Linked DNA regions of Saccharomyces cerevisiae S288C. The gene in region 1 interacts genetically with each later gene. Each region holds a gene or a part of one and is shown in the gene's direction. Other genes may lie near its edges. The genes, in order: YIL165C, FRE7, GMC1 and YFL051C.

Evidence for each region.
Region 2: mutations in YIL165C (region 1) and FRE7 together harm fitness more than expected from each alone (negative genetic interaction), as found in Saccharomyces cerevisiae (one large-scale study listed by BioGRID).
Region 3: mutations in YIL165C (region 1) and GMC1 together harm fitness more than expected from each alone (negative genetic interaction), as found in Saccharomyces cerevisiae (one large-scale study listed by BioGRID).
Region 4: mutations in YIL165C (region 1) and YFL051C together harm fitness more than expected from each alone (negative genetic interaction), as found in Saccharomyces cerevisiae (one large-scale study listed by BioGRID).

The regions. Positions count from the first base shown.
Region 1 is NC_001141.2:30,369-37,396, reverse strand, and holds YIL165C (uncharacterized protein), read left to right. Parts: upstream 1-3,319; coding exon 3,320-3,679; downstream 3,680-7,028. Other genes in the region: beta-fructofuranosidase SUC2, read right to left, coding at 1-12; YIL163C (uncharacterized protein), read left to right, coding at 145-498; NIT1 (Nit1p), read left to right, coding at 2,711-3,310; SOA1 (Soa1p), read left to right, coding at 4,831-6,459.
Region 2 is NC_001147.6:34,769-43,541, forward strand, and holds FRE7 (putative ferric-chelate reductase), read left to right. Parts: upstream 1-5,979; coding exon 5,980-7,842; downstream 7,843-8,773. Other genes in the region: ZPS1 (Zps1p), read left to right, coding at 1-639. UniProt on the Saccharomyces cerevisiae protein: Cell surface metalloreductase. May be involved in copper homeostasis.
Region 3 is NC_001136.10:1,457,731-1,466,325, reverse strand, and holds GMC1 (putative oxidoreductase), read left to right. Parts: upstream 1-4,771; coding exon 4,772-6,598; downstream 6,599-8,595. Other genes in the region: protein kinase GIN4, read left to right, coding at 540-3,968; PSP1 (Psp1p), read left to right, coding at 7,106-8,595. UniProt on the Saccharomyces cerevisiae protein: Could be an iron transport multicopper oxidase, which is required for Fe(2+) high affinity uptake. May be required to oxidize Fe(2+) and release it from the transporter. Essential component of copper-dependent iron transport.
Region 4 is NC_001138.5:26,665-33,907, reverse strand, and holds YFL051C (uncharacterized protein), read left to right. Parts: upstream 1-3,367; coding exon 3,368-3,850; downstream 3,851-7,243. Other genes in the region: putative Mg(2+) transporter ALR2, read left to right, coding at 1-636; ZNF1 (DNA-binding domain containing protein), read right to left, coding at 4,279-5,676.

The DNA.
Region 1 (7,028 bases):
TTGCAAAAGCATCATATACGTTAGTGAAAAGAAAAGCTTTTTGTTTTGCTTGTTTCTCTGAGAGAAAAAAAAAAGTAAGATATATGGTAAAAAAAAAGCACAAGAACAAGAGAATGTTTTGAAGAATAATACATATCTATTTATATGTTTCTTTTCAGGAGGAAGGATTATAGGATCGAAATCCAAAAAAAAAAAGTCGTCAAATCTTTCTTCCAAATGGTTTACTATAGAGCCCTTAGGCAACATTTTTGTCAAACAAAGTCGTTTAAGCATTCCTCGAAAAGAAACGTCTCTATGATGGTAATAGGCAAACATCGGGCGTACCTTAAAAGTCTTAGACATCACATAAAGGGATTTATAATCACATTCCTCGTCAGTTTTTCCAGAAACCTCCATGGAAAAACCCTGGACGTGGGGTCGATTAACGCTACGCGTATTTCTTCGCCCCCGGATAATTTCCTAAACTGGGTTTTTTCTTTTTATTCCTGTTCAGAGTAATAAAAATGCGGGGAATAATGGAAGCCCTCATAATGGATCGAGTTCAACAAAGGCACGCCTTTGGTAGAAGAATACTGTGGGCCTTTCTAACGTAGCATACCGACTGGTAATTTGCTCACAAACTATTCTAAATGACGTACTTTTTTGAGCTTTGCTGGGGGAGCGAGAACTACGCTAGGACAACAACTCCCATACGGTAAATGTCTTAGTATGTCGTGCTTGTACAAACGAAACATGATAAAATGGATACCTTCGACAGCTCACCGTGCCCCTGTCCTTTGTTCATTGGGAAACCTCCTGCCGTAATTCTACATACTATACTCGATACCCGAGATTGTGACGTGTGGATGCTAAGCCCCTATAACCTCAAACTTTTTAGCTTGGAAAGGCACTTAACTCAATTATAGGTTGTTGCGAATTCTGAATTTTTACAGCTACTTCTGTAGGGAATTCAGACCTCCGTACGGTATCTCCCTGTTTACTACAGGGGAAAACTTAGTTTTTTTTTTACTATAGTATATGCAAGGCCCTGAAGCTCCATGATATTTCGTAGATTATTCGGCTTCCTATTCAAGGCAATGTCTAGCCGTTTAATGTGCGACGGCATTAGCAAAGCTTCTTCAGTTAATAACTTTTCTACGTTCTTTAGCGCATTAATAGACTGATCGTCTATTACCATCGTGGAAATGAGGTATAGCACCTAAGAATACAGCGAAGGAGGTCTAACTGCTTCCCAGAAGTCACAGGAAAATAAACTTTTTTTTTTTATTTTCCGCTTTTTTCATAAACTTCTTTCACACTTTCCGCTTTTCCATACTTGGTAAATGCACATAATGCTATTGTAATATACAACCATGATTTCACTTCCCCTGGCGCAACAGTATGTTGTTAGCTATGATACAAAAATTTTTTAAGGCCATTTGAAAGCATCAATTTCTCAGAACACACTTCATCTACTGCAAAAGAAGACTTTCGAAGAAAAGTACAAATTGCGACGAACTACTTTCATAGTAACAAAATGAACAGTGACATTGAAAAGCAGAGAATGTTGAACATAGGCTAATTTTACGTTCTCACAGCCTGGCTAGCACCTAGAAACGACGCATGCTGCCATGTTAGTAGTCAAACAAAATTGAAGTGAGGCTCAAAATAGTTTGAATGAACACAACAAAACATTGGATAAGCTGTCATGCTACATTAGCAATACAAAAACCCGCACCCCGTAGTCACGTTCGCCTTCGCAGCTTTTTAAAAATGGCAAAGAGTCTGACTTATGCTCTGTTGACATTTAAGAGATACAATGAATCGATCCAACAATTATTAGCCATCAGTACTTCTCTTTTGTGAGGTAGGGCGACAAGAAAACGCACAAACTAGAGAAGATATTTATGCATTTTTCGGTATATCAGATAAAAGTTGGTAGTGCTCGAGCTTTTCTTTCTATACCAATAAATGCTGCAAAATATTATAATCTAATTAGTACTGAAGTAACTCTAGCAAAGCACAGGTGACAAAATTTGTGCTGGTGATTGTTGGTACTGCTATCGCCAGAATAGTCGAGATGTTTGCATGTATCGACTGCTATGCGCGTAAGAAATTGGAATTTTGTATGGATAACTATGGCCGACCACTGCACCTAGCAACAGTGAAGAACTCGTTTATCGAGAGACGAGTGTCGAGATAACAGATATGACAATTAGATTATGTAGCCGAAACCATATATTAGAGCCAGTAGTTGTTTGATCATAGCTTGATTTTCATTAATTATCAGTCCTCTTCCGTGTAGTGCCTTTTTTCTTCTGCAAGCGAACTTTTTACAGATGGAAGTTCGATAACAGAGGAAAAAGGCGAAAGGTGGTTACTTGAAACATGGTGTATCTTAAAAACCGCTCGAAATTATAGAGGTGAAATTACAAGTTACTTGCGGTTCGATAAGCAAACGCATTTACGCTTATACTTTGGAGCCACATTTCACTATGAACGCCACATTATATTAATCCCACCGCGATTTGAAAACGGTTATCAGTAAAGTTGGCCTAATGCTTACGAAATATGAGCTATCTTTTTTGCTTCGTAAAAAAAATGGAGCCCAGGCCTCCGTGACTCATAAAGGGCAGTGTATATAAATAATAAAAGCTCTTCAATAAGAAAGGGTGATATTATGACTTAGGGTTAGCCAATCACTTTTCGAGGCTACCTCTAGTTAACCACAATGGCGAAACACATTGTTGCTGCCCTTCAAATCGGCTCTTGTCCGGGCTCTACTAAGGATACCTTGAAAAAAATTTTGTCATATGAGAAGGAGATCAAGGAATCTGGTGCCAAGTTGGTCGTTATCCCAGAAGCCACTCTTGGTGGTTATCCAAAGGGATCGAACTTTGGGGTTTATCTAGGCTACCGTCTTCAAGAAGGAAGGGAGGAGTATGCTAAGTATCTTGCCGAAGCAATTGAGATCGGAAACGGAGAGAAATATCCAGAAATTAGTCAGTTGTGCGCACTATCGAAGGCCACCGACGCATCCTTATGTGTGGGGTGTATAGAGCGCGATGGGACGACATTATATTGTACCATGGTTTATATAGATCCTAAAGATGGCTACGTTGGGAAGCATCGAAAACTGATGCCGACAGCTGGCGAAAGACTGATATGGGGTCAAGGCGATGGTTCGACTCTGCCTGTCGTGGATACCGCTGCTGGGAAGATTGGCGGTGCTATCTGCTGGGAGAACATGATGCCTCTACTGAGATACGCCATGTATAAAAAAGGGGTTGAGATCTGGTGTGCCCCAACGGTGGATGCTAGGCCTATTTAGAGGACTGTGATGAAAAATATTGCATACGAAGGTCGTCTATTCTTGATTAGTGCAGTGCAGTTCATGCCAGATGCGACAGCAATGGGCTTTGGGGAGATTATTGACCAAGCTACAGGTAAGAGAAAATTACCTGGATGGCCATCTGCTGACGACAACTGTATTAATGGAGGTAGTGTTATTATTGATCCTTATGGAGAGATTATTGCAGGGCCATTGCTAGGGCAGGAGGGCCTTTTAACCGCCGAAATTAACACTGACTTGATTGCTGAAGCTCGCTTTGATCTTGACCCTGTCGGACATTATGCTAGGGGAGATGTCTTCCAGTTGACTGTCAATGAAAGGTCACACGATGTCAAGTTTACGAAATGAATACCGCATAAATCCATTAACTAGGCTTTCATGAATGGTGGCTCGAAAATATTCGTTAATATCAATATGTCTGTTATATAATGTTTTATGTACAAGAGATAATGTAGATCTGTAATATTCAATCAAATAGGCATTTGTTTGAAATCCATACGTCTCTAAGATATAATCCAAGCCATGATTTTGAAATCAGGATCGCAAACCTGATCATTTAATTTTTACCTTTTTTTAAAATATAAATTAACATTTATTAATAAATAGGTGTATTTGAGAAGTTTCATTTTCGTTCAACAGCCCAGTTATCATCATTTCACAAACAAGAAGGAGATATTAGCATTTTCTCCCGGATCCGATTAACACAGTTTTTTTGTTTAATCCGGTGTGAAGAAGATTTATAAATGTCGTGATATTTTTTAATGTGGAGATTGTACGATGACGGGTAGGAGTCAAGACAAGCTAAAGAATGCAGCCTTAATAATTGCGCCTTTCACAATCAAAATTATGCATTGACCCGATACAAGAATCACCGTGTGGATCAAGCCATTCTTACCAAGCTTACTTTTGCCGTCGCCAAGGCTGTTTGTAGTCATTCTCTGAACTTTTTTCCTTGGCATTCGGCTCGACGCAGAGAATTTCGGATCGATATAATCCCGAAATAGTCCGTTTCTCGGATAATTGTGCCGAAATGCATCATATTACAACGTACTATCTTGAATTGCTAGCATTCTCGTAAGAAAGAAAAACCTCGAGCAAATAGGCTACATTTGCTGCTGCACCCCTTTACAGCACAAAGTCGTTGCAGCTAGCTCCTTAAAATAAGGACCCTGCAGTCATGTGGCATATATAATAGTTGGCGAAGCTTGAAGCCTCACTTAGAGGTTGACGCCTCACTTGAGGTTTCAACATATACTGATGGTTTCATTTCAACAGCCTATGGGTCAATTGGGAATAACTATCAATGCTACCAATTTGTCACACTTTATTGCCTAATAGGTTTGGCGCTTACTATCAAATACATGACGTATTCCCTGCGCTAGGTTCGTCTTCTACTGAATCATTTAGTATAAAAAGGCAGCGTTCAATTGTTGATTATTGAAATTATTTATTGTACAAACAATTAATAAAAAATTCAATCAACAAACAAAGTTTCATCTATGTCCGTACAAAAAGAAGAATACGATATTGTAGAAAAGGCCCAATTATCTGTGTCCGCAGAAAGCTTAACATCAGATTCGGAGAGTATTTCACATAACCCATTTGACGATTTTCATAAAGCAGAGCGTTGGAGAAAAGTCTATGAATCCAGTGGTTATGAAGGCTTGTCTAAATTCGATCCTGAGTTTACATGGACAAAGGATGAGGAAAAGAAATTGGTAAGAAAAATGGACTTGAAGATTTTTTTGTGGGTTTTTATTATGTTTGCCTTTTTGGATTTAATAAGGAAAAATATTGCAAGGGCAGTTTCAGACAACTTCATTGTTGACTTGAAAATGAACACGAACGACTACAACCTTGGCCAAACTGTTTATCTAGTTATATTTCTAGCAAGTGAACTACCCGGCAATCTGCTGTCCAAAAGATTTGGTCCAGAAAGGGTCATTCCGGTTCAAATTGTGTTGTGGAGTGTAATTTGTATTACTCAAGCTGGTCTGAAAAATCGAGGTCAATTTATTGCTACTAGATGCTTATTAGGAATGGTACAGGGCGGGTTCATCCCGGACAATATTCTATACTTGTCATATTATTATACTGGAGCTGAGCTCACATTCCGCCTAAGTTTCTTTTGGTGTGCTATACCTCTTTTCCAAATTTTAGGCTCTCTTTTAGCTTCCGGAATCATAGAGATGAGGGGTATTCATAACTTAGCTGGCTGGCAGTACCTATTTATAATTGAAGGGTTTCTGTCCCTTTCTGTTGGCGTGGCATCCTTTTATTTAATGCGTAGAGGACCTACGCAAACTGGTGAGTCTGCATTTCACAAAGGAAAATCGTTATTCACTGAGTATGAGGAGAAAATTATGGTTAACAGAATTTTAAGGGATGACCCATCAAAGGGTGACATGAGTAACCGACAACCAGTTACCTTCAAGGAGATTTTGTACACTCTAACAGAATTTGATCTATGGCCATTGTTTATCCAAGGTATTACAGCATTCATATCTCTTCAAACAGTTGGTTCCTATTTATCTTTGATATTAAAGAGTTTAAATTACTCTACATTTCTTTCGAACATTTTAGCAATTCCAGGCCAAGCCCTGCTGCTAATAAATTTACCATTAGCGGCACTATTATCGCGTAAATTGAAAGAAAAATCACTTTGTGTGGGAATTGCCAACGTTTGGGTGCTCCCTTTCATAGTTTCTCTGGTCGCTTTACCGACTGACACAAACCCCTGGATCAAGTATATATTACTAACCGGTATACTTGGTCTTCCCTATACACATTCCATTCTTGCTGGTTGGGTCTCCGAGATTTCAAATTCGGTAAGATCGCGTACAGTGGGCACAGCGTTATACAATATGAGTGCCCAAGTTGGAGCAATCATTGCTTCTAACATGTATAGAAATGATGATAAACCTTACTATACTAGAGGTAACAAAATACTTCTAGGATTCACTTGCTTCAACATTTGTATGGCTGTTGCTACTAAGTTTTACTATATTAGTAGGAATAAATACAAGGACCGCAAATGGAACTCTATGACAAAAGAAGAGCAGATCAATTACTTGGACACAACTAAAGATAAGGGAATGAAGCGTCTTGATTATAGGTTTATTCACTAGATTAAGTTTTCGTGTATTAAAATTTTTGCTGTTAGAGTAATGCTACACGCAAAAGCGAGAAGTCATACATCAAAAAAAATTATTACACCAGAGCAACAAAAGGTTAATGCAAAAACTTTTTTTTTTCGAGTTTTTAAGGTAAAGGTCATGGGATGTTATTGCTTTTTAGTAGTTTTGCACTGCTATACCACAAAAGCAGGTGACAGCAATTGTGTGTTCACGGAAACAAAAAAAAGTTTTTGAACATAATAACACCAAAATCTTCGGTAATTGATATCAAAATACAATGACCAATTGTAAATATTCCTCTGAACCAGCCTAATGCTTCTCAAATAATCCCCAAGCACACAAATATTCTATGTAGGAGCTCACAGGTCAACGCGCTAAGCTACCGATGTTACCTTACATTCATAAGGTGTCATCTGTTTATGCTGTTTGCAGATAACCTTCATTTGTGATCTCTTGCAACTTTCTTATCTCAAGATTTCACAATATTCCGCGTGAATCGTAGAATTAATTTCTACATTCATATGTAAATAAAATTTTCTTTACTACTCTCCGAATTATAC
Region 2 (8,773 bases), on another chromosome or scaffold:
TCTCAAGAAATTCTGGGTTGGAGTCACGCAACTTTTCCTACCATTTACCAAACCTGTAATGAGACGAACGCAAGAATGTTGAATGCAGCTTTTAAGGATACCGCTGAAATCACCGCTTATGGTAAAGATAGACTTTTGAACTATGGTGTCGATGACGTTTACTACAAAAGATGGTTTGGTAATGGTAGTATTTTCACCGTCATGGGTGTCTTTGAGCAATTGATGGAGGCTTCCAAGGGTGCCATGCTCATGAGATGTGATGATATTGATGGCTTGTGTGCAGCTAATCCAAACTATTACGCTGGTCATCACCGTCAATCTGCTCCAGCTGAAACTGTTATTTGTGATTACTTCTACACTTCCAAAAAGCCACTATCAACAATTTGTTTCGAAGGTACTATTGTCGATGTCGGTCCAAAACATTATGCAGGTATTGATATGTTACATCGTTACTTGCACGTCCCTACCATGAGTATGGATGGATATGTTGGCGAGTACGCGGAAACTCTTGAAGAAGTTGTGGACTACACCCAGAACAATGCTACTTACGCAGTTAGAAACACCGACAACTATCTTTACTATCTCGCTGACGTTTACAGTGCTTCTGTTATACCTGGTGGCTGTCTAGGTAACTTGTAATAACCACATCATTACTTCCACAGAATATGTTTTCTATACCGTAAATATTAGTTCGTTTATGTTTTTAAAATAAATTGGAGCTATTCTTTTTCATTGAATTAGATGGTATTTTTTATATGATTGCAAACTTTGACGAGAATGTACTGCTCATTATTTTTCGTAAACTGCAAAAAATTGAGCACAATATAAGTATCTCAGTGCATTGTATACGTGTCGAGTAATGAATCAAACAATAGCATTCTTCTTCTCAATTTTACAATAGTCTGAAACAATTTAATGACAAGTTTATCATAATTGTGTTATTATTATATTTATATTTAGAGGCCTATATTGCGCATCGAACTTTTCAAAATCCGCGCAAAATTATAGAATTCATCATATATAATGAAGGAACTGTGTTCCTGAAAAGAACAAAAAAAGGATTAACTACAAAATGAAACATAAATATGTCTTTTATCAATTAAATTAATGATAATTTATTCTTACCGAACGTTTTCTTCTACCAAGTTTTTCGCCTACGCACCTACATTTCCTCTTTTGAATTTCATGGCAATAAATAGTAAAGAAATCAATGATCGTCTTGGTTTTATTAAAAAACTTGAGAATAACATAACCCTTTAATAGGCCAATGCAACTGATAGAACACCAGAAAAAGTTGTAATGCCAGTGCGGCTGAACAGAATCTGTGGTAATAGATTTCGGGTATAATGCGCAAATTAGGAATACTCATATGTTCAGATAGAATAAATAATAAAGAGACCTTCAACATAAAAAACTAATAGGACCTTCATGGGCAAAAAGACAGGATTACGCTAAAATATACTTCAGTGATTTTCTGTTAATATGCGAAAGAAAGACACATAAAATATTGGTGAACAGGGCAAAAAATTTTAGATTTGTCAGTCAGTGAACAATATTTCAATTGGTCACTTATAGAAAAGATTATTATAATTACCCATGTTAGTGTCGCCAAACACTATTATGAAATAAAGATAATATTCTATTAGCAATGGTCTCAAATTAATATGAACGGGCATCATTGGCACAGAGTAACCATTTTAAAATAAAAAGAGGGCAGGAACTCTCACACATTTCGGTACGAACAAACTGATATACTATATCTATTAAACCGTAATTCCAGACGCGTAATACTACAGCATAATCTTCAATATAGATATGACAAGAAAAGAACAAGTTTTTCCATAATAAGTATCCCATTTTACCTACATTTCCCTTCTTCGGTATGTTAAATTATTAATATTCTTTGCAATTGTTGGCCGTTGAGTAAAGTTCTAATTTCAAAAATACTAGACTTTGACTGAAACGTTATAGGAGTTTTAATATCAATAGACCGTTTGGCCAAGACGCGTTCAACATATACACTGGTCTACCATTATATAAAAAAATTCGCCCATTAATCATGGCCATACTCGTTGACATTCACAATATATTCATAGACAAATGCTACTGCTGAAACGTGTGAAGATGCTGAAATATGTTCATTAACAGAATGTATTGTCCTTAGTTGGTCAAATGGAAAGATACCTGCAACAAATCTATAGATGTTTTTGCTTAATCCCCAGTAATACTTGGTATCGGTATTACCAGAAAACAAGCCACCCGTAACGTAGACATCTGCATCTTTCTGCTCAGCCAAAATTTCGTTTTGAAACAAGTTTTGAACAGTACCTGCAAAAATCTCCCAGACATGTCCTGAAGTTGGCGATACTGGTGCTGGTTCTAACATTTTTTCACTTGCTAAAGAAATGTGGCCAAGTTTTGTTTCCGGGATGATAATCTCGTCATGGAATGTCAAACCATACCCGTGCTTTTCAGCAATAACTCTGGCCCAATACAAATCATTTTACACAGTTTCGTTCACAGATGAATGAATATCCACTCTATGGTTAACAATAAAGCTGGTCAATCCTGGCAATGCATTAGCCTTGACACCGCCATTAATGACATCGACTGCTCTAGTTGTTCTTATTAGGTCACGAATGTCAGGGTGCGATGCAGCAAATTCCGTCAAAACCTTCCTTTTCCCTTCATCCACAGGTGCTTTTAAGATTGCCTCCCTGACATGTGGTGGCAGAAAACCTGAATGCTCGGCAGCACATTGTAATACATCATAAATGGGGTTATCAAGTGAGAAATTATAATCGAATGGGTGATTTTCCATCATATATATCAATTCTGATGCAACACCAATGGTAGTATGGTCAGGTTGTACGGATGAATGACCACCATGACCATGGATACTAATCCTTACGTCAACGTAACCCTTCTCAGCATTTACAGCAGCTGCAATGTAAAGGTTTTTATCCAGTCTTAGGAGTCCAGCACCTTCATCAATAATGGAAAACATGCTATCCGGGCCATACCTTTCCAACAGAAATGGTGCCAAGACTTTAGCGCCCATAAAACCGCTTGACTCCTCATCAAAGCCCAGAGATAATATAACGGTCCTTTCAGTCTGATAACCATCGGCAAGCAGTTGTTCTATACCCTCTAACTCAGCGAGCATTAAGTTCTTACAATCATTGGAGCCGCGACCCCAAACATAGTCCGTTTCTTGATCATAGTGACCCGACAATGGTGGATACTGCCAAGAATCCCATATTTCCCTGTTAACTGGCACCACATCTTGATGTGCCATAAATAATATTGGTTTCAAACTCGGATCTGTACCTTCCCATGTATATAATAGACCCAATTGGTTGACTTTTTCCACCTTTAGATGAGAGTGAACAAGAGGAAAAGTCTCTTAGAAATATTTGTGAAGTTTGAAGAATTCTGAATAGTACTCTGGGTCATCGTTTGGAAGCGGGTTTGTGTCACTAATTTCTGTAGGAATTTGAATGGCACCAGACAACTTTCTTATTGAGTCTATTTTGAATTGCTTATCGTTCAGAATCAAATTCACAGACTTGTTAAACGATGGACGATATACTTGAGGCTTTTTACATTGTGGAGAGGCAGGAACGTCAAAAGTGGAATTTGGGACGGGTTTGGTAAAGCTGCTGATATAAGCTAAGAGCAACGTCAATAAACCAATTAATGGCAGACCAAATTTTTTACACTTAGAATAGGTAGAGGAGGTTGGCTGCTTAGAAGAAGGATACACATCCGGAAGCGGAGCGTGATGAGTCTCTGTCATATAAGCGTTTTAGTATATGGGAGGAATGACAGAGTATAAGCCGTTATGGTATACTACTACGAATACATAATTAAGAATAGGGTTTTAATGTAGTTGCTTGTATATCTTCTATGTTCCCCTTTTTAAGCACCCCTTAGAAAATATATATTGTCGAGGATTTTTCTCCAGAGACCATGAAATGAAAAAGAATCCGAAATATGCACTCCTTCGACCAAGGCTTTAGAGCACCCTCATTTAAAGCCCGACCTGTAGTGCATATGCAAGATTAAGAAAAAGAACAGAGAGAAAAGTCCGCTTTACCATAATGTTAATTTATTCTAAATGCTCTCATTGACTTTTATTTCACCGACCCTGAGTCAAATTTTCGACCATGTTATATACATGCTATTTAGTAATCAAGTGATTAATTTTACCGAACTCAAAGTTGCAGCCGCAGAAAATAGTCATCTGATAATCTTATATATAGATCCGACTTATTAAAGGACATAATTTTCAAAGAATCGGGTACGTGCCTAATGCAATCATGTCGTGTCAATCAACTTCCCCCATACTATATCATTGTTTTACGCCACGTTAATAGGAACCAACGAATTTCTTAAAGCCAATCCTTACTGCTATTTGCAGATGGACTGACGGTTATGCATTCACTAACACCCCAGGTCTTACCGTACCACATATTTAGGTGCAATACTAATCAATTGTCTCTTGAACAGTAACGACGAAAGTATGAACTTCTTATCTATGCTATCTTCAACGTGATAGTTTATGCTACTTTGCAGATGTTTGAGTTAACCTGCTAAAATATATTAAAGCAGCTATAGTTATTTTGAGTTGGTCTATACAACTTCAGGAAAATGTCGTTTGAATATTCCTGCACAACGCTGGGATATTTACAACCAAAGATGCCACTACAAATAATAATGACATGTATATGAGAACATTGCAAACGATTAACGCTGCTCACTTAATGCTATGTAGACTTCAATATATGTCTTTGAAAAACGCTTTTCCACAATCACAGGATAGCAGAGGGATGCCTAGAGGAATACTCCCCGGCTAAAAATGCCTGAGACTGCCCATATATTCCCACGGTAATTATCCATATAATAACGAAATTGAGTTTTCTATAAGTAACATCAGCCCATCACCCATTTATTTGTTCTATAGAATACTATACTCTTTTGCTCCAGTGTCTTACCTCAAGTGGACGCGCTCTCAGTGCCAAATACAGAGACAACAAGGACCTGGAGAGTTGTTCATAACAAAAGTTTCATCATGCCACCAGCGTAATGACAGCCGCAGCAGTGTTTGACCAATTGAACTATGATAAAACTACATTATGGTTTCTGACTATGTCTGTACATCCATGCATCATCTTTTGAAGTTTTTATTTTGATAGCATCCTATTTTGTGACTCTTACTTTACAAGAACGCCAACATAGGGAGTGATTGATATTCTCTGAATTTATCTGGATACAGCCAATGACATCCTGAAATACCTATAGTGACAGTAGCGCATTTCCTGGTCATTTATTAATGGTTTTAGACACAAAATGAAGATAACAGATAATACGAAAGTATCTTAAACTGCAAAGGGGATCTATACGCCACGACTTACTGAACATCTCTGACCAATAGAAGATCCCTCAAGTTTATTAGGCAACTACAGTATGTTATTACAAGAGCATACGCCTGTATTTGGATGGCCAATGAACAAGGAGGATATTTTTTCCACATATAAGTGACCGCCATTAAACAAGACATGTTTGAAATAACCTCCTTCTGTCATACTATGTGCTCACTATTTTCAGAAAATGCGGTTGAAAATCCTCGTCTGCGCAAATTGAAAAAGTCGATATACGTTTCAAGTAACGCAGCCGAAATGCCCGTTTGCCAAGCTTATTATATTTGGAAAAGTGTCAAATTATAGTGCTCGCATCTGGATGTACCGCGCATATTTCTTAGTTAAGCAGGATGTATAACTGCGCATTAATACGTGAGCATTTGCGCAAATTCACTTCTTAAAATCTCTGAAGTACTTCTTCATTATGCACTCGTTTGTTCTCAAGATCATATAAACCATGCCTTTATTACCAATACTAAAAGTTTTTTATTGCAAGTAAAGGGATATTTCAAATTTTTATTTCAAAGTTTATTTATATACATCGATAAATAATAAAATGATTGAAGAAAGAGATTTGGTTTTAAGCAATGGTATCCATTGTATTGCTGACATCCACTCCGAACTATACGCCAGGTTAAAAAAAGAATCGCAGGCAGCGACACCATGGGTGTACCAAAAACAATACGGAAAATTCGTCACTTACTTTGTCGCTGTGATAATTTTTTTGTCTTTGATAAAAAAGCTGGCATTTATGTATTATGATTCCAGTGAGGAATTTCTTCCAGAAAAGAAGAACTCGCCGACTACCCCTTCTGTATTCCTTGCTCGAATAATGACGAAACTTGTCGCATTCAACAGATACATTTGCTACAGGAAATTTCCCACGTTGATATTTTCTTATTTAGGTATTCCGACATCTGTGGGTACTTTTTTAGTAGTAATGGCTACCACTTTATACACACTTCTATACTGCTTTGTTCCTCATCCATTCTACAGACCTTGTGCAGGATTTGGTTCGCCGCCTTTGTCTGTTCGTGCAGGCATAATGGCAATATCTTTGGTTCCGTTTGTATTCTCACTTTCCGGGAAGATCAACGTTATAGGTTGGTTGGTTGGGCTTTCGTATGAAAAAATCAACATATACCACCAATGGGCATCCATTCTTTGTTTATTCTTTAGCTGGGTTCATGTCATTCCCTTCCTACGTCAAGCACGACATGAGGGAGGATATGAAAGAATGCATCAACGGTGGAAGGCATCCGACATGTGGAGGAGTGGTGTCCCACCCATCTTATTTTTGAATCTGCTATGGTTATCTTCGCTGCCTATTGCTAGAAGACATTTTTATGAGATTTTTTTGCAACTTCATTGGATTTTAGCTGTTGGATTTTACATTAGTTTGTTCTATCATGTATATCCCGAATTGAATTCCCATATGTATCTGGTTGCTACAATTGTGGTTTGGTTTGCACAACTGTTTTACAGACTAGCTGTGAAGGGTTATTTAAGACCTGGTAGAAGTTTCATGGCCTCGACCATTGCAAATGTCAGCATAGTCGGCGAAGGATGCGTAGAATTGATCGTCAAAGATGTGGAAATGGCCTATTCCCCAGGTCAACACATATTCGTGAGAACTATTGATAAGGGCATCATTTCCAACCATCCATTTTCTATCTTTCCGAGTGCAAAGTATCCCGGAGGAATAAAAATGCTGATTAGAGCCCAGAAAGGGTTTTCTAAAAGGCTATACGAAAGTAATGACGACATGAAGAAAATTCTTATTGATGGGCCTTATGGTGGAATCGAGAGAGATATTAGAAGTTTTACCAATGTCTACTTGATTTGCTCTGGTTCAGGTATATCTACATGCTTACCTTTCCTGCAAAAATATGGCCCCATACTCCATAAGACAAACTTAGAAGTTATTACATTGGACTGGGTGGTAAGACATAGGGAGGATATATCATGGATTAGAGATGAAATGTGTACCCTCTCAAATAATTTGCGCCAGTTATTTTTAGATGGGAAAATTGTGGTTAGAATTTACGTCTGCTCGGACAGTACCGTCCCTGGTATTATTAAAACTTTCCCTCAAACAATAGACACCGCCAGTGACCAATCTGATTTAGCTAAAAGAGAAAAAGATACCGAATTCGGCCAGGATGATACTGAGTCAAATTCAACTTTCGACAAATCCAATAACGAATATAAAGGTCTCATCACCATTATTCCTTCCAAACCTGATTTGAATCAGGTCATTAATGATTACCAAATTGGGTTCAGGAACTGCTTCATTTGTTCAGGTTCTGACAGCCTAAGGTATACCGTCGGAAATTCCGTGGCAGGTTTACAGGCCAAGGTTTTTTCTAACAAAAATGTCGAAGAGTGCTATTTACACAGCGAGAGTTTTGGCTACTAGTAGGAAACAGATGGCATCCACCATGTGAAATATCATTCAAGCATTTCGGCAAAACCATGTAAATATTTGATTATTAGCGGGTAAATATGTAATAGTTATGCACTTTAATTCTTTTGTTCATCTAGAAGACAATACAACGCATTTCTTGGCTAACCATCTTACAGCCTTGAGGGTAAAGGGCGGGCAAACGAACAAAAGTACAAAATTTCCATCCTTGTTTGATAATCATTTCCTCGGACCAGATAAGAATGAGCAGCCGAAATAAACGGTAACGTGATTAAAACCGCTAGAAGAGTGTTTTTGTAAGGATGAAAACCTCAGTGAGAAAGTTGACAATATAAACATTATCAGCTTTTCTCGCCCTCTTTTGCACTTCCTGCAACATTACTTGTTCTGCAGCTTGTTTCTTCCAAATATATCCATGCTCTCGGTGTGCCACTTCTGGGGTTTCTCACCAATAACAGAACATATCCAGTATAATACATACACCATATTCACACCCTATTTCATATCATTAACCTCTTCATTTTTAAATGCCAGCGATTACTTTGACTTCTAATCAAGAACGCGAAAAAAAATTACCGCGTGAACTATGTCATATTTGCGATTTTAGGTACAATAAATATTATCATTATTATATTATGTTTGCATGTAGGTTCTACAAATACATTGTTGTACGCTATAGTTTCCTTTCAAAACTAGAAAGAATTCGTAACAAAATAATCTCCAATATTTTATAGCACCTTATTAATATCAATGCTGCAATACCTTCTCATTTCAACAATTGGCCCTCACCTCTTTTGTACAAAAAACGTCGCCATTGATAAAATAAGTAAGAAGCATATAATTGGAATGTCCATTACGTAAAAGAAAAAAAATCATGTGTACATATTACGTAATAGAATACGGAATTTTCTCGCGGAAGTAGATC
Region 3 (8,595 bases), on another chromosome or scaffold:
CCCTCATTCATGTATTTCTTATTTCATTATACTATTTAACTCTTTAAATATTCTATGTACTTTGTGCAAACATCATTGTCATCACATAAATGCATTCCTACTATTACTAACTTGAACTTCACTTCACTGGAAGAACTGGGTTATTCAAGGTAAAGAAATCATTTGTTTTGCGCCAAGTTTCGTCTGACAAGAATTTTTTATTATTATTTCCCACTTTTCATCGAAGGAAACGCGTCAAATCCATTCGTTACTACGCGCAATCTGCGTTATTTCCTTTTTCGGCATACCATCGCGAAATATCAACGGCCACACCATAGATTCCTTTTGATGTTAAATTAAAAGCGACTGAATGAAGTGCACACATTTTTTATTTCTTCTTGATTTTCTTTTCTATTTTGTTTTGCTTTCTCTTCTGTCGACAACGTCTCAACTGTACTCACCATTAGTATTCTCGAAGGCTTTAGCAGACTTGTGAATAATTAATTGCCCACTTTGATCAAGAAAGATATTCGCAGCACAATACAATAATAACATTCAAAATGGCAATCAATGGTAACAGTATTCCTGCCATAAAGGATAATACCATCGGTCCATGGAAACTAGGTGAAACTCTCGGTCTAGGGAGCACTGGTAAAGTCCAGCTTGCTCGTAATGGATCCACAGGACAAGAGGCGGCAGTTAAGGTAATATCAAAAGCAGTATTCAATACCGGTAATGTCAGCGGTACTTCGATTGTTGGCTCCACCACCCCAGATGCTCTACCATATGGTATAGAACGCGAAATAATCATTATGAAGTTGTTAAACCACCCAAATGTGTTACGTTTATATGATGTCTGGGAAACAAATACAGATTTATACCTTGTTTTAGAATACGCGGAGAAAGGTGAGTTGTTCAACTTATTGGTTGAGAGAGGTCCTCTGCCAGAGCATGAAGCTATCAGGTTTTTTAGACAAATTATTATTGGTGTGTCGTACTGTCATGCGTTGGGTATTGTCCATCGTGATCTAAAACCGGAAAATCTATTATTAGATCATAAATATAACATCAAGATTGCAGATTTTGGTATGGCTGCTTTGGAAACTGAAGGAAAGCTACTGGAGACGTCGTGCGGATCACCACATTATGCTGCACCAGAAATTGTATCTGGTATACCGTATCAAGGTTTCGCAAGTGATGTGTGGTCATGCGGTGTGATCCTATTCGCCCTTCTTACTGGTCGGTTACCCTTTGACGAGGAAGATGGAAATATAAGAACACTATTACTTAAAGTTCAAAAAGGTGAGTTCGAAATGCCTTCTGATGATGAAATTTCGCGTGAAGCTCAGGATTTGATTAGAAAAATCTTAACCGTTGATCCTGAAAGAAGAATCAAGACCAGAGATATACTCAAACATCCGCTATTACAAAAATATCCAAGTATAAGAGATTCTAAAAGTATTAGAGGCTTACCAAGAGAAGACACATATCTCACGCCATTATCAGAAAGTAATTCTTCTATTGACGCTACGATTTTGCAAAATTTAGTAATATTATGGCATGGAAGAGATCCTGAAGGAATTAAGGAAAAACTAAGAGAACCTGGCGCTAATGCAGAAAAGACATTATATGCACTACTGTATAGATTTAAGTGTGACACTCAAAAAGAGCTTATTAAGCAACAGCAAGTTAAGAAGAGGCAGTCAATTAGTAGCGTTTCTGTTTCCCCATCTAAAAAAGTATCGACAACTCCACAACGCAGAAGAAATAGAGAATCTTTAATTAGTGTAACATCTTCTCGTAAAAAGCCAATATCCTTCAACAAATTCACTGCCTCCAGTGCCTCCTCCAGCAATCTAACTACACCCGGTTCTTCAAAACGCCTTTCAAAAAACTTCTCTTCAAAGAAGAAATTATCTACAATCGTTAACCAATCTTCTCCAACACCAGCATCACGTAATAAAAGAGCTTCGGTTATAAATGTGGAAAAGAATCAAAAAAGAGCCTCTATCTTTTCTACTACCAAGAAGAACAAAAGATCTTCTAGATCTATCAAGAGAATGTCATTGATACCAAGCATGAAACGTGAATCGGTGACAACAAAATTAATGTCAACATATGCGAAATTGGCAGAGGATGACGATTGGGAATACATTGAGAAGGAAACAAAGAGAACGAGCTCAAATTTTGCAACTTTGATAGATGAAATTTTTGAGTACGAAAAGTACGAACAAATAAGGAAAGAGAAGGAAGAGCTAGAACGTAAAGTGAGAGAAGCAAAAGCACGTGAAGAGCTGGAACGTAGAAGACGTAAACAAGAAGAAAAAGAACGTGCAAGAAAATTACTAGAAAAGGAAGATCTGAAAAGAAAACAGGAGGAACTCAAGAAGCAAATTGAAATTGATATAAGTGATCTAGAGCAAGAGCTGTCCAAACACAAAGAGGAAAAACTGGATGGTAATATTAGATCTATCTCTGCTCCTATGGAAAATGAAGAGAAAAATATCAATCATTTGGAGGTTGATATTGACAATATTCTCCGTCGCCGCAACTTTTCTTTACAAACTAGACCTGTGTCAAGGCTTGATCCGGGTATAATGTTCTCCAGTCCAACTGAGGAAGTAAGTCCAGTGGAACCAAAGAGAACAGAAAATGAAAGACTTACAACAGAAAAGAAAATTTTAGAAACTATCAGAAGATCAAAATTCTTGGGTTCATCATTTAATATCGATAAAGAGTTGAAATTGTCTAAAATGGAATATCCAAGTATAATTGCACCACAAAGATTGTCAGAGGAGCGAGTGGTGTCAGATTCTAATGATGGATATGAATCTTTGATCCTCCCGAAGGATGGGAATGGCGTATCTCAATTAAAGGATAGTACCGCAACAACTGCTCCCGTCTCTGATGGTAGGTTGAGGAAGATCTCTGAAATTAGAGTACCACAATTTACTAGAAAATCAAGGCATTTTAGTGAGTCCAATAAAAGGCTATCTGTCCTGTCGATGTACTCTACCAAGGAGTCGTTTACCAACTTGGTTGATATTTTGAAAAACGGTAACCTTGATGTCAATAACCAACAAAGCCAAAGAATTCCAACACCAAGAAGTGCGGATGATTCAGAATTTCTTTTTGAAACTGTCAACGAAGAAGCTGAATATACAGGAAATAGTTCGAACGATGAGAGATTGTACGATGTCGGTGATTCCACTATCAAAGACAAATCCGCGTTAAAGCTGAACTTTGCAGATCGTTTTAATGGATCGAACGAAGCGAAACAAACTGATAACTTACATCTTCCGATCCTTCCTCCGCTTAATGGTGACAATGAATTGCGTAAACAGAATAGCCAAGAGGGTGACCAGGCACATCCAAAGATTAAATCGATGATACCAGAATCAGGCTCTTCTTCACATACTGAAAAGGAAGAAGAAAATGAGGAAAAGGAAGAGAAAAAGCCAGAACAACACAAACAAGAAGAGGATCAAGAAAAAAGAGAGAAAGTAGTAGATGATATGGAGCCACCATTGAACAAATCTGTGCAAAAAATTAGGGAAAAAAATGCTGGCTCGCAGGCAAAGGATCATTCAAAAGATCACTTAAAAGAGCATAAGCAGGATAAAAATACAGCAATTGGAAATGGTTCCTTCTTTAGAAAATTCTCAAAATCTTCGGACAAAACAATGGAATTGTATGCCAAGATTTCTGCAAAACAATTGTTTAATGGTTTAGAGAAGCTGTTGCGTGGTTGGACTCAGTATGGTTTAAAAAATATAAAATCGCACCCCAACAATCTGACCTTAACGGGTAAACTATCGAGTGATAATATATTCTCACTACGTTCAACACTCTTTGAGGTTAATATTTATCCGAGAGGTAAGATGAGCGTTGTGCAGTTCAAGAAAGTTTCTGGTTCATTCAAAGCTGTCAAAAAGTTGGTCAATGAAGTTGAGAACGTCCTGAATAAGGAAGGCGTTCTACAAAAATAGTGCTAATGTAATGCAATCATGTTTTGTCTCCTTCGTTTTGTTCTGCCATAATATTTCGCTCATATTATTTTTGCTTATTTTTTCCCCTCCGTATTAATACTTTAAATAACAATCTAATGGAGGTACTGGACTCTATGTACTATTATATTTACCCTTAAAATATCGTGTTGATTACTATTTGTATAACCGTTTGTTTTTCTAACTATATATGAAAGAAAAGTAGTTATAGTTATAGTAGTTGAAGATTTAAAAGCTATTTGCCCTCTTTGGGATTAAAGTAAGAGCTAAACATAAATTATGTAACAGTTTAATTTTCCGAACATTAATTGTTGTTAAAGGCTTTAATATCAAGTATACTGAATATGCTAGAAGTTCCACTCAAGCATATAAGAATATCTGCCTAAATTATTATTTATCACTACAACTTGGCTACAAATTATGAACAATGAGGCCGACAAGAAGTTACTCTCTTAAAAAATGGGATATGATATATACAAACATATGATACAAAAATTTCAACAAATAAGTGGTTGTTTGGCCGAGCGGTCTAAGGCGCCTGATTCAAGAAAAAATCTTGACCGCAGTGAACTGTGGGAATACTCAGGTATCGTAAGATGCAAGAGTTCGAATCTCTTAGCAACCAATATTTTTTAGTTTACATTTTTTTCGGGGATAGTCATAGAGGATCCACCTTCATCTCAGCTGTCCACATTAAGGCCAAAGCTAATAAAGTGGCACATACTGGGCGGTTAAACAAAGTTATTAAGTAATTATTGCAAAACTCCGTGGACAACTTGTTTAGAATGAAGGTCATTCTCCTTAAGCCGGTTCAGTTGCCAATGCTACTCTTAATACTATTAAAATTTATTATGGCCGCTAAGGAAGGCAAAATACATGTCTTAGAATTCAATGCGAGCAGTGAATACACGCTTGATAAGAGAAGAGTTATCTCCATAAATGGCTACAGCGCTACATTTGGCCCAGAAATTCGAGTTAAATCCGGTGACACTCTTAACTTGAAATTGACTAACTGGATATGTTCAGAAGAAGAAGCTAGTAAAGACAGTGATGTTTGGAAGGATTACTGTTCAACAGCTTTACATTTTCATGGGGTGGTACCTTTAGCAAATGAATTTGATGGAATTCCAGGTTTAACACAGCCCACTATTGGATATGGAGAAAGTTATTGGTATAATTTTACCATTGATCAATCAACCTGTGGTACTTTTTGGTACCATTCGCATTCATCAGTACAATACGGTGACGGTATGAGAGGTGTTCTGATAGTTGAATGCGATGATTATGATAATCATGTGGCAAATACTATTAATTCTGTGAGAGACATAGAGACACTAGATGACGGTGTTGTTACAATGAAAAAAGATAAACACACGAAGGAATTGACGGATTATGAAGTTCAAGAAAGGATTATCACTTTGAGTGATTGGTATACCAATTGGAATTTGGACATTTTAAACGACAAGGTTTTGTCATCTACCGGGGGTACAGATCCCAAATTTGATGGATCATTAATAAATGGAAAATCATCTGACGGTGAAACTATCAAAATAGGATTTAACACCGAGTATCTTCTTTTGAGAATCGTAAACTCAGGAATGTCTGGTACTCAAGTCTTTCACCTTGATGGATTCCAATTAATTGTTCTAGAAGCCGACGGGATTATGATTAAACCGTTCATTGTACAAACGATAAATTTAGCGGTCGGACAAAGATATACAATTTTGGTCAAACTAAAGTCTGACACTAGTTTTATTCGTATGATTAATGGCTGTAACAAAATGATGGGTTATATAACAAAACAGTGGTGGTTTTACAAAGAAGGCGCTCATTTGGACCTACCAAAGAACCCCAATGACGTTTCCATCGAACACTTGCCTGGTTTCACTAAGGCCGAGCTTTATCGCGACATAGAACCAACGCAAGAAGAGAATAAAAAGTTACGCACAAAGGCTGATCCTGTTGCAGTTTTCGAATTCGATTATGCTTATTACAAAGATGAAAGCACGAAACAAAAGTATGGGACTGGGATGTATAAGGTGAACGAACGGACATTCAGCGAGTACGTAAAAGACCCGGTAAGGTTCGGATTCAACGAAACATATGATATTGTAATCAACTCACTGGACCACATGAGACACCCATGGCATATGCATGGCCATCACTTCCAGATAATATCTCTTGGCAATAAAGGTGATGGCCCATTTCACAAAGACGTACAAGAGGGCAAGGCATGGAGCCGCTATCAGAACGATTTACGTCACCTGGCCCGAACCGGAAAGGCACCGATGGTAAGGGATAGCATTAACATTGCAGGAAATTCTTACGCGGTTTTGAGAATTAACACCGAGATGCCCGGAAAATGGCTTTTACATTGTCATGTGGAGTGGCACATGATGAAGGGGCTTGGCATTGTCTTTGAGGTTCCGACAACAACCGAGGACAGTACCAAACAAGCAACTACAGCTGTATTATCGTACCCTACCAAGGAACCTGACCCTAACACTGTTGTCCATACAGCCGCACTTGAACAAAATAAGTCCAAGGTAATAGCCGTCTACATCCTAATCATGTGTGCGGTTGATGCTATCTTCTACTGGTTGCTCATGTAATCACATCCATTTCTCCCAACTCATTGCTTTTTTTCGCTTTTCCCACAGCCGTTTACAAGGCCGCAAAAAAGAAAACCCGCAAAGCTGACGGAAAAAGTATCGGCTAGCTTTCCATTGGCGACAATCGCCTCCGAGTGCGAAAACCTGTATTTCTCTGACTGCCGTAGGTCATATAGGATTGGGTCATAACGGTTTTTTGGAGACGAATCCTTCCCCTAATCGTGTTGGATAACATTACGGATCCGTGTTTTAGCTAAAGGAACAAAACAAAAATAAATAAAGGATAAGAAGAAGGATTCACTGATAATTAAGAGCTGTATTTTTCATTGGTTCGGCAGTTAGAAACAGAGATAGCATCAGTTCGAGTGTTCTTTGATATAGTAAACAGCGTATATAGAAAAGAATAAAGTGTATTGAAAGGCTCAAGAGAATTATAGAGAAAAAAACGAAGGATAAATCAAAAAAAGCGGTGTCTGATACAGTGCTCAATAGAAATACAGTTGCAAAATGGACCTCCCAACTGTTAATAGCACAACAAGCATTTCCGACAATGTGGATTTAAAGAACTACTATGAGGACTTGCTTTTCAAGAATAACAGCGGAAAATCGCTATCCGATTTACCCCGTAAACTGAATGATAACTCCAATAATTCAGGAAGTGATACGGTTGATCCGCTTGCTGGCCTGAATAATTTGAGAAACTCAATAAAAAGTGCGGGAAATGGTATGGAAAACAGGAGGACTTTTGACGATATTGATTTTATGGGTAGGTTTCCGTATTTGCCACCAGTGCCAAATCAACAACAGCAACCGTTTTCTCACCAGAACGGGTTCATTCAAGAACACCCTTCCAGTAATTTGACCTCTTTTCAAATGTCTTCGTCTAATTCAGAGCCGATGTCCGCACCGCCCATTTCATCCAATAACAATAATTTAAACTCTACTCAAATGGGTAATTATCAAGCTCAACAACGGTCGTTCCCGCAATTTAATGGAAATTCATTTCATTCAAATGGAAACGACCTAATGGGGAATCGGATGGATTCAGACTACATGCGTTTAATGAATAAAACAAACATAGGTTTTACTTCCAATAGCGGCAGCAATTTTGCTGCCCCATCACACAGTGCTGGCAACCCATCTAGTATGAACAACCAACAAGTACCATCATTTAATTGGCAACAGCCATCTCATCCAGAGTCTACCATTAGGAGATCCTCCTACATATCAGATACTCTAATCAACCATCAAATGCCTGACGCTCGGCAAAAGCAAACATCCCAAGTGCAGCAGCAACACGCTCAAGGTTTCAATCTTTTCAATAGCAGATTCAACTATGACAACTTGAACTCAACCCATTTGACCGCCAAAGGTGTGCCCGAGTTTGGAAATGGTGTACAACCTCCGTATCCTTATGATAACGAGCCTAATAATGCCAGTATCAGCAATAGTAATAACAACAACAACAGTCACAATATGGTTCCAATGCAACAGTTTCGCCGGAATACACAACCGGTAGCGAGCTTCAATCCATCCCTTCCTACTTTTCAACAACAACAGCAACAACCACAACAACCACAACAACCAAGAAACGTTAATGTACCTACTTCTTTCAATGGCGAACGTGTTGATGATGTTCAGCTTGTTCAACTTCAAAGAAGCAGTTCTGTCCCTTCTTCTACAAACTCACATAACCTTCAGAACGAGAACAGCAATGAAGGAAATGTATCTTTGGACAATGGTTTAGTTTTAATTCAGGGTAAACACTTGACTTCGTCCAAAACCTTACACGATTTATACAGCGACTGTGGCAGCGGCTATTTTGCTAGCTCTGCAGTTTTTGAATTCACAGATAATATTAAGAAAATGCTGAAGTTGCACGATTCTAATGAAAGTTACGACGCGAAGAACATGGGCTTAATCGATGAAGAAGGTAATACATACCAATCTTTATTAAATTTCTTGGACATTTTAAGAAGTTGCAACATGAATTACGT
Region 4 (7,243 bases), on another chromosome or scaffold:
TCTCAAACTAACATGGTGAACTTACAAGCGGAACAAGAGAATGTGAACCAGAATAATAGTAATAACCAAATAAGCTTATCAAATAGCTATATGCAAACAACATCACAACCAAGGGGAGATATTGCTTTATACTTAGGTGATATTCAGGATCATTTGTTGACGATGTTTCAAAATTTATTGGCGTACGAAAAGATTTTTTCTAGATCACATGCAAACTACCTGGCCCAATTACAAGTGGAATCATTTAACTCTAATAATAAAGTTACAGAAATGTTGGGTAAAGTTACTATGTTAGGTACAATGTTAGTTCCATTAAATGTTATTACTGGTCTGTTCGGTATGAATGTAAAAGTTCCAGGAAGAAATGGAAGTATTGCGTGGTGGTATGGAATTTTGGGGGTACTGCTTTTACTAGCTGTCATAAGCTGGTTTTTAGCTAGCTATTGGATCAAAAAAATAGACCCACCTGCAACGCTCAACGAAGCCGCAGGTAGTGGGGCCAAATCAGTCATATCTAGTTTTTTACCGAAAAGAGATAAAAGATTTAACGATGATTCTAAAAATGGCAATGCGAGAGTTGGCGTTCGAAGGAAATCAACTGTCAGTCTACCCAGTAGATATAGCCGTTACAATTAACATGACCGCTATGGTAGGTCGGCAGATCTTTAGCAGGCAGAATAAAAGTCTGCCGAACAACAAGTTCCTGAATTTTGAAAATTTTTGGCACATTGGTTGACTGCTTTTAAAGCATTTTTTTGATATGAGGGCACAAAAATATGACGCTTCACTTAAAGTTTCTCATATTCTGACACACTTCAGTGATTTTTTAAATCACATTGCATATTTATACCGTAAAAGTTGTAGAGTTAGTTTTCTTTATGTAGGCCAATAAAATAAATTTGCTTGAGCTGCATTACTAGCAACATAATTGACCAATTTATACGTTTAGTTTTAACATCATCACAATGGTGTATAAAAAAAATTGGTACCGAACCATGATATAACAGACTTCTGATCAGAAGTACGAAGTAAAACCAGAGAACATTACCAAAAACTTTTATGATGTATCTATATTGTTAAATAAACGAAGCCTGACAGTGGAACTGCGCTTTTTTTATCTTCCTTACCATGACTACCATTTATGAGCGGAATAATCATATCATTTTTACGAAAGCACCGCCTAAACTCAAAAATGGAAATTAGTACAGGCGTATTAAACCAAGAAAATAGAAGCTGTCGCGATACTTATTTACAAAATAAATCTACGTGGCCACATACACATGAAAACCACAATAAACTTCTTGCGTTAGTAAATAACTATAATTTGTATGCCTGGTCAGATTTCTACAGACAGCAAAGACTCCAATAAGCGCTAAATAAAAAGTCAGCATTTTGAATAATCATAGACAAGAACTCTTTTGTCGGAACAATTTACGTATTATTTTTCGAAACATTTCTTTCCCAGATAACATTGAAAACAGAATTTTGAAAGAAATTGCCGAAACCGAAACAGGATAACAAGATTAAACGATGCTATAAACCCCACTGGTAGTATGCAGAATACCTCTTTTTACCCCTTTAAGAGACATGGCATACATATTCCACAATGTGCACTAAGGAGAGTCAACTGCTCACAAAAATGTTAGTCATTATAGAACACCTTGTGAAATTTCGATCGATATCAAAAACCCACACATTTTGTAGACTTTATATGGGGAGAAACTATCGCTCTATCCCGCCGCCTCCCTAAATTCCAATATCCAGACTTTTATGCTTTTCAAATCATGCCATCTAATACTAAAAAGCGCAGGCGTTGTGCGCTTGGTTTGTGTAAGTTAACCAAAAAAGTTAAAAGTATAAGTCTTCTGCATCAAACTAACAGAAAAAAAATTTTTTTTACACTTGAAATGGTTATTGTCTGCTTATTGTGAAGTACGAACATCCTAACAAACGTTGTATGTTGCTTTCTGCGTTTTTCCTTACAGTGCTAGCGTAGAGAATATGAAAAAGAGGGAAATTAAGCAACTGCTTTTTCTATGATTTACCACTGTGAGCCCAAAACTTAACGTGCACCAACACGTGTGCGGCAACCTGGCTGGCCTCTCAATGTAGAAGTAACTGGTTTTCTTCTTGCCCTTTATTTTCTTGTTTTTTAGAACCAATCTCGAGCACTTGGATAATGCAAAACAAATACAATCTATGTCTTCCACACCATCATTTTACTATGCCTGCCACCATACATTTGTCTTTTGCACCATATCTTCATAACCTGTCACCTTGAAACTAAAAAAATATTCACAATGGTGCATGCTTGAAGCACAAACTAGATTAATTTGTTGAGTAAATCATGTGGTTCCAAGGAACAAAAAAAAAAATGCATTACATCACGTTCCTTGCTCTGTATCTCTTCACCTGCAATTACTCAAAAGAAAAAAAGAAATATAATTTTCCTTTGAGCACCCTTGGTAACTTATCTAAGAACACGCGATGTAATCGAAATTTAATAACCTAAAAAAGAAATAGAGATCGGTGACGTTTGACGCTAGCCAATCTCCACGAGATTTATCTGGAAGGGCATCACCCGTCAAAACACTAAGAAATTTGACACCTTATTTTTTTTTCTCCGAAACGTTCTGAGACGTTTCTTTTTTTTTCAGGACGCCACCCTAAATCCGAAAAACCTTACTTGGCATTAGTGTTGTAAAAATTTCTTTTTTCCATCGTGGTTCTGAAAAGCTTGCAGAAAAAAAGTTCGAGAACGTTTTCGTATGACTTATTAAGCTGCCCTTGAACTTGCCTTCCCTCTTCTTTACTATTTTCAGCCAGGGACAGAAATAAAGCAAAATCGTTTAACTTTTATGACCGTAACAGGTAACAATATCTGCTCAATTCGGTTAGTAAAAAAAAAAAGGTTATCGTAGGTTTACTATTTTCACATCGGTGCATAGAATCTATACTCTACTTCCTTTGGAGGGAATTTAGTAGTGCTCGATTAGCAGATAACAGCGCAGGGTTCTATGTAGTACGAAGCACTATCAGGTTTTTTAACGTACGTGAGTTGTTTTTTGTTTCTAATTTTTGGCTTGCCTGGGATAAACGGTGCCCATCAAATTATTAAGACCTGGTGAAAAGAGCGTACCTACATGGGTATCGGGGTTTTTGCCAGAAAGAGCTTTAACTGCAATTGATGCCTACCGGAGATTATTTTGATATCAAAATGCAGGAACGATATCTACTTCCCTAAAGCAGAAAACAAAACATTTTTTTAAAAGTCTTTCTTATATAAAGGTAACCTTCATTTCATGATAGCCAGATGATAATCTTAATGTAACAATTGGAGGATACCAGCATCCCTCCACACCTTCAAATGTCTATACCCCATTCCGTATTTTCGGCACTCTTGGTCTTCGTGGCGCTAGCTACTACAACCTTAGCCAGTACAGAAGCTTGCTTACCAACAAACAAAAGGGAAGATGGTATGAATATTAATTTTTATGAGTACACAATAGGCGACCAAACCACATACTTGGAGCCTGAATATATGGGCTATGAATACTCCAATACAAAGAAGTTAGGTTCCGTTAGCGGACAGACCAATCTCTCCATATACTATAGTCCGCCTTGTGAGAGCACTCCTACCTGTGTGACTTATGCAGTTTTGAAGCGTGATGAGGATGGATATGATCCTTGCGGACCTCTTTATGAAACTAAAAAACGTGACACTGAATACTGTGACCCAAATACTGCCTATTGGAGTTCTGATCTTTTTGGTTTCTATACTACTCCAACTAATGTAACTGTGGAAATGACAGGGTACTTAATATGGAGTATGGGCAACCGACGCCGTTGAACCTCTCCTTGGAGATTCTGATAATTTTATGACCATGACTTCTCGTGCACCTTACAGGAAACTTTAATGGCCTGATAAGTACAGCTATATTGTGATCACAATTATTAAAAACTAACTCATTTCATCTATAACCAAGTACAAATCGCACGACTATCATGACGATAAAAGCGTATATCCTTGATTTAATTCACATCACAATCACCCCCCTTGAAAAAAAAATAAATTTTTTTTCTTGCTATAATAGCATAATTGTCCACAAGTTCACTATTAGTGCTATCATTCTTCCCCACTGCCGCAAAATTGCAAAGGAAATAATTGTTTGCCCTGCAGGAACCATATACTAAAGAAGAAATAGATGCTATTAGCCTCTTCAACTGTCCGTAATCACTACATCTTGAAAGGTAAAATGCAAGTAGCAATGTGTTTACTTAAGGAAGCGCATCTACATCTTCTTTAGAACCATCTGTCGATTCAAGCGGATTAGAAAGAGGAAGCGTGATAAGCGCACACTGACACTTTGTCGTAAACTTATCAACTAATGTGCTATCACAATGCTTAAGAGAGAAGACAAATTTGGATATATCGAACAAAAAATTCCAAGCCTCCGACTCTGCATTTTGATCGTACTGATTCACAACATCTACCAATGCGTCGGCTATTTCTAGTGCTTTCACTGATATCCCTGGACCGTGAACTGCATAAAGATTTTTTGGGATTAAAAATGTGTCTTCTAACATGTCTCTAGCAATTTCTACTGGAATATGCGTATTCTTGCTATTTGAAAGGAAACTGATTCGCATACCGCTTATTTGAAGCACTAGCTTCCAAGCAAGTGTTCTAATCCAATGCCGTGAAAAAGATATGTCTACATAGCCGTAAGACCATGGTTCTATCTCAAGTGGCACCGTATGAAGTTCCCTCCATATCTTTTTAAGGGAGTCTTCAGTACAGGTTACATTAGCAGAGTCGGTAGCTAGAGCATCAAAGAAGCATTTTCCCGGTACAGTAAATACCCTAATCATCTCCAAGAAGCTGTCGAGAGATAGTCGGGGGTCCGTTACGTTCTCCGGTTGTGGTGGAGCAATCGTGGTATCCAGGCTCGTGGCGCAATGCGTATACACAGAAAAGTATCTTTCCGTTAAGAGAAGCAAATAATAAACTTTCCTTCCAAGCTGCTGCTCATCGAAAGGAAGAAGTTTCAAAGTTTCCTCGCGATGGAACCCCGCCAACTTAATGAGCCCCACGGCTTCACAAGAAAGCCGATACGAAGTTCTTGAGTTGGACATCTGTGCGTAGCAGCGGTTTAGACAATAGTACGTCATAATCTTGAATATATCACTACCGTTAAAATCGTCAAATTCTTGGCGTGATGACATGCAGAAACTGGATAACTGTATCCCAGTAAAGGTAACCCCTCCTTCCGACTCAATTTCAGTCTGCAAATCGCTAAGCGTGGCGGCAGAAAGAGATACCAGGAACCAATACACACAGGTTTCGTCATATCTTTTCTCTAAAAGTTCGTAAAGATCATCATAACACAGCAAAGGCCAGATCACATACAACTTATCATTATAGAGCCGCAGACACTGATCAATTAGTGCCTTTGGAACCTTCATTATGCCACCACTACTACTTTTACTAAATACCTGTACATCATCTACTTTCTTTAAATTTCTCACCTTGACGGGTTTTGGACCTCTTTTCTTCAAAGGTCGAAGATATGTACATTGCAGATTGTGTTGAAGACAACATTTACATGGTTTTTTACGATCACACTTTACTCGACGAATGCAACAACAGTCGCACGCTTGTCTATTGCGGGCCATCTTCGAACTAGAGCTCTTTTACTTTAGCTCTTTTGACAAGACAATGAAGCATTTCTTGAAGGTTTTCTTCTTTTCTCCGTATTTAAGTCAACAAGATATAGCTAATTTATTAAGCCGGGGGTGGGGAAAAACGCGGTAGTAACGTGGGGTACTTTAAAGTGGGGGAGATGGCACAGACAAAGCCGCAGGTACCTCGAGAACTCAGGGGAAAAAGGAACGCAGTTCAATAAGCTACCGATTTGGCAGATCTCAGGAGTAAAAATATAAATCTTAGTGCACATACAAGTGATAACTGCAACTCCAGATTTTTCTTTCGGTCGATTCGTTGATGCAACAATGTCGAAATTATAGTTAGGCGTTTGTTCCTGTAATTTAACTTCAAGTGGAGGAGTCAATGTTCTTTCCTATGTTCTATTTGTGGGATAGAAAAGTTAAAAAGAAGGTTTTTGAGTATCCCAGTGATAGTGCAGTACTACTTCTGTGTATTCCCGATTATTACAACGGCGGAGTTTTTTTCGCATAAACTCAGACTACTAAGTAACTCTCGAGCATCGTGAAGATCCTGATACTTTATCTATGCATTACGTACGGAACGGAGTGAGGCCTTTCTCCAGAAAAATCGTTGAGATGGCATGTAGGTTCTAGATTTGTGACGACACTCAACAAGAAAAGTTTGAGGTGAATATCTTACCCGCGACATCTGGAGCGAGAAGAAAGCCGTAATCGATAACGTATTCTCTCAATGCTGTGGCGTTTCAGTAGTATTTTGTTATTACCGACGAAAACGGTTCCTCAAGAAATAAAATATATCTAGAGGTAAGTTGCAAAACGCTAGACTATTTATGGCAAGATTAGTATTTGCTGTCGTGATATCATAAGTAGAGACACATGTTCAGCTTCTCACTTGAATTTAGGTTAGAACAAAATCTTTAAACAGCAGTTACAATGAATGTTTGGGAGACCTAGTCAGTCTCCATACTGCCAAGAAAAAGGTTAGTCGAACTGGAAAAACAAGGCTGTACTGCACCCTAATGTTTCTTAGTAAGCAATTCGCTATCGACGCCGAATACCATGAACATCAACCTTGTGAAAGCTTTCGCATATTGGCGCTCAAGAGATATAGACGGTACTAGTGAAAGAGAGACAAGGCCGCCGGATTACTTGCTCTCGTCATTGTAATTGTTCAATTTCACAGACATTTCTCTGGCATGTATCCATTGGGGCACCACAATAAGGGAATATTTTACAATATCGTAAGCTGTTCGTAATACGCGGCTTCTCTTTACTCAAAGCCCAATGAATCCTGGCTTCGAAAATCATACAAACTGTGAAATCTACTTATTTGAAATGACAAACACTGCTTCCCAGTCTGGAGGCTCTCTTTGAGGATAACTAACATGTATGGCTAAAAATAGTTAAAATAATTGAGACGACATTGCACTTGCTATAATCAGACTTCAATAACATATGCATACAAGAAACTTCTCTTTTGAAATAGGAGCGGGGCTCCATCACAAAGAGATTGAAATTTGATACTAGCTCTAAAATCGAGGCAGGGATGTTCCAA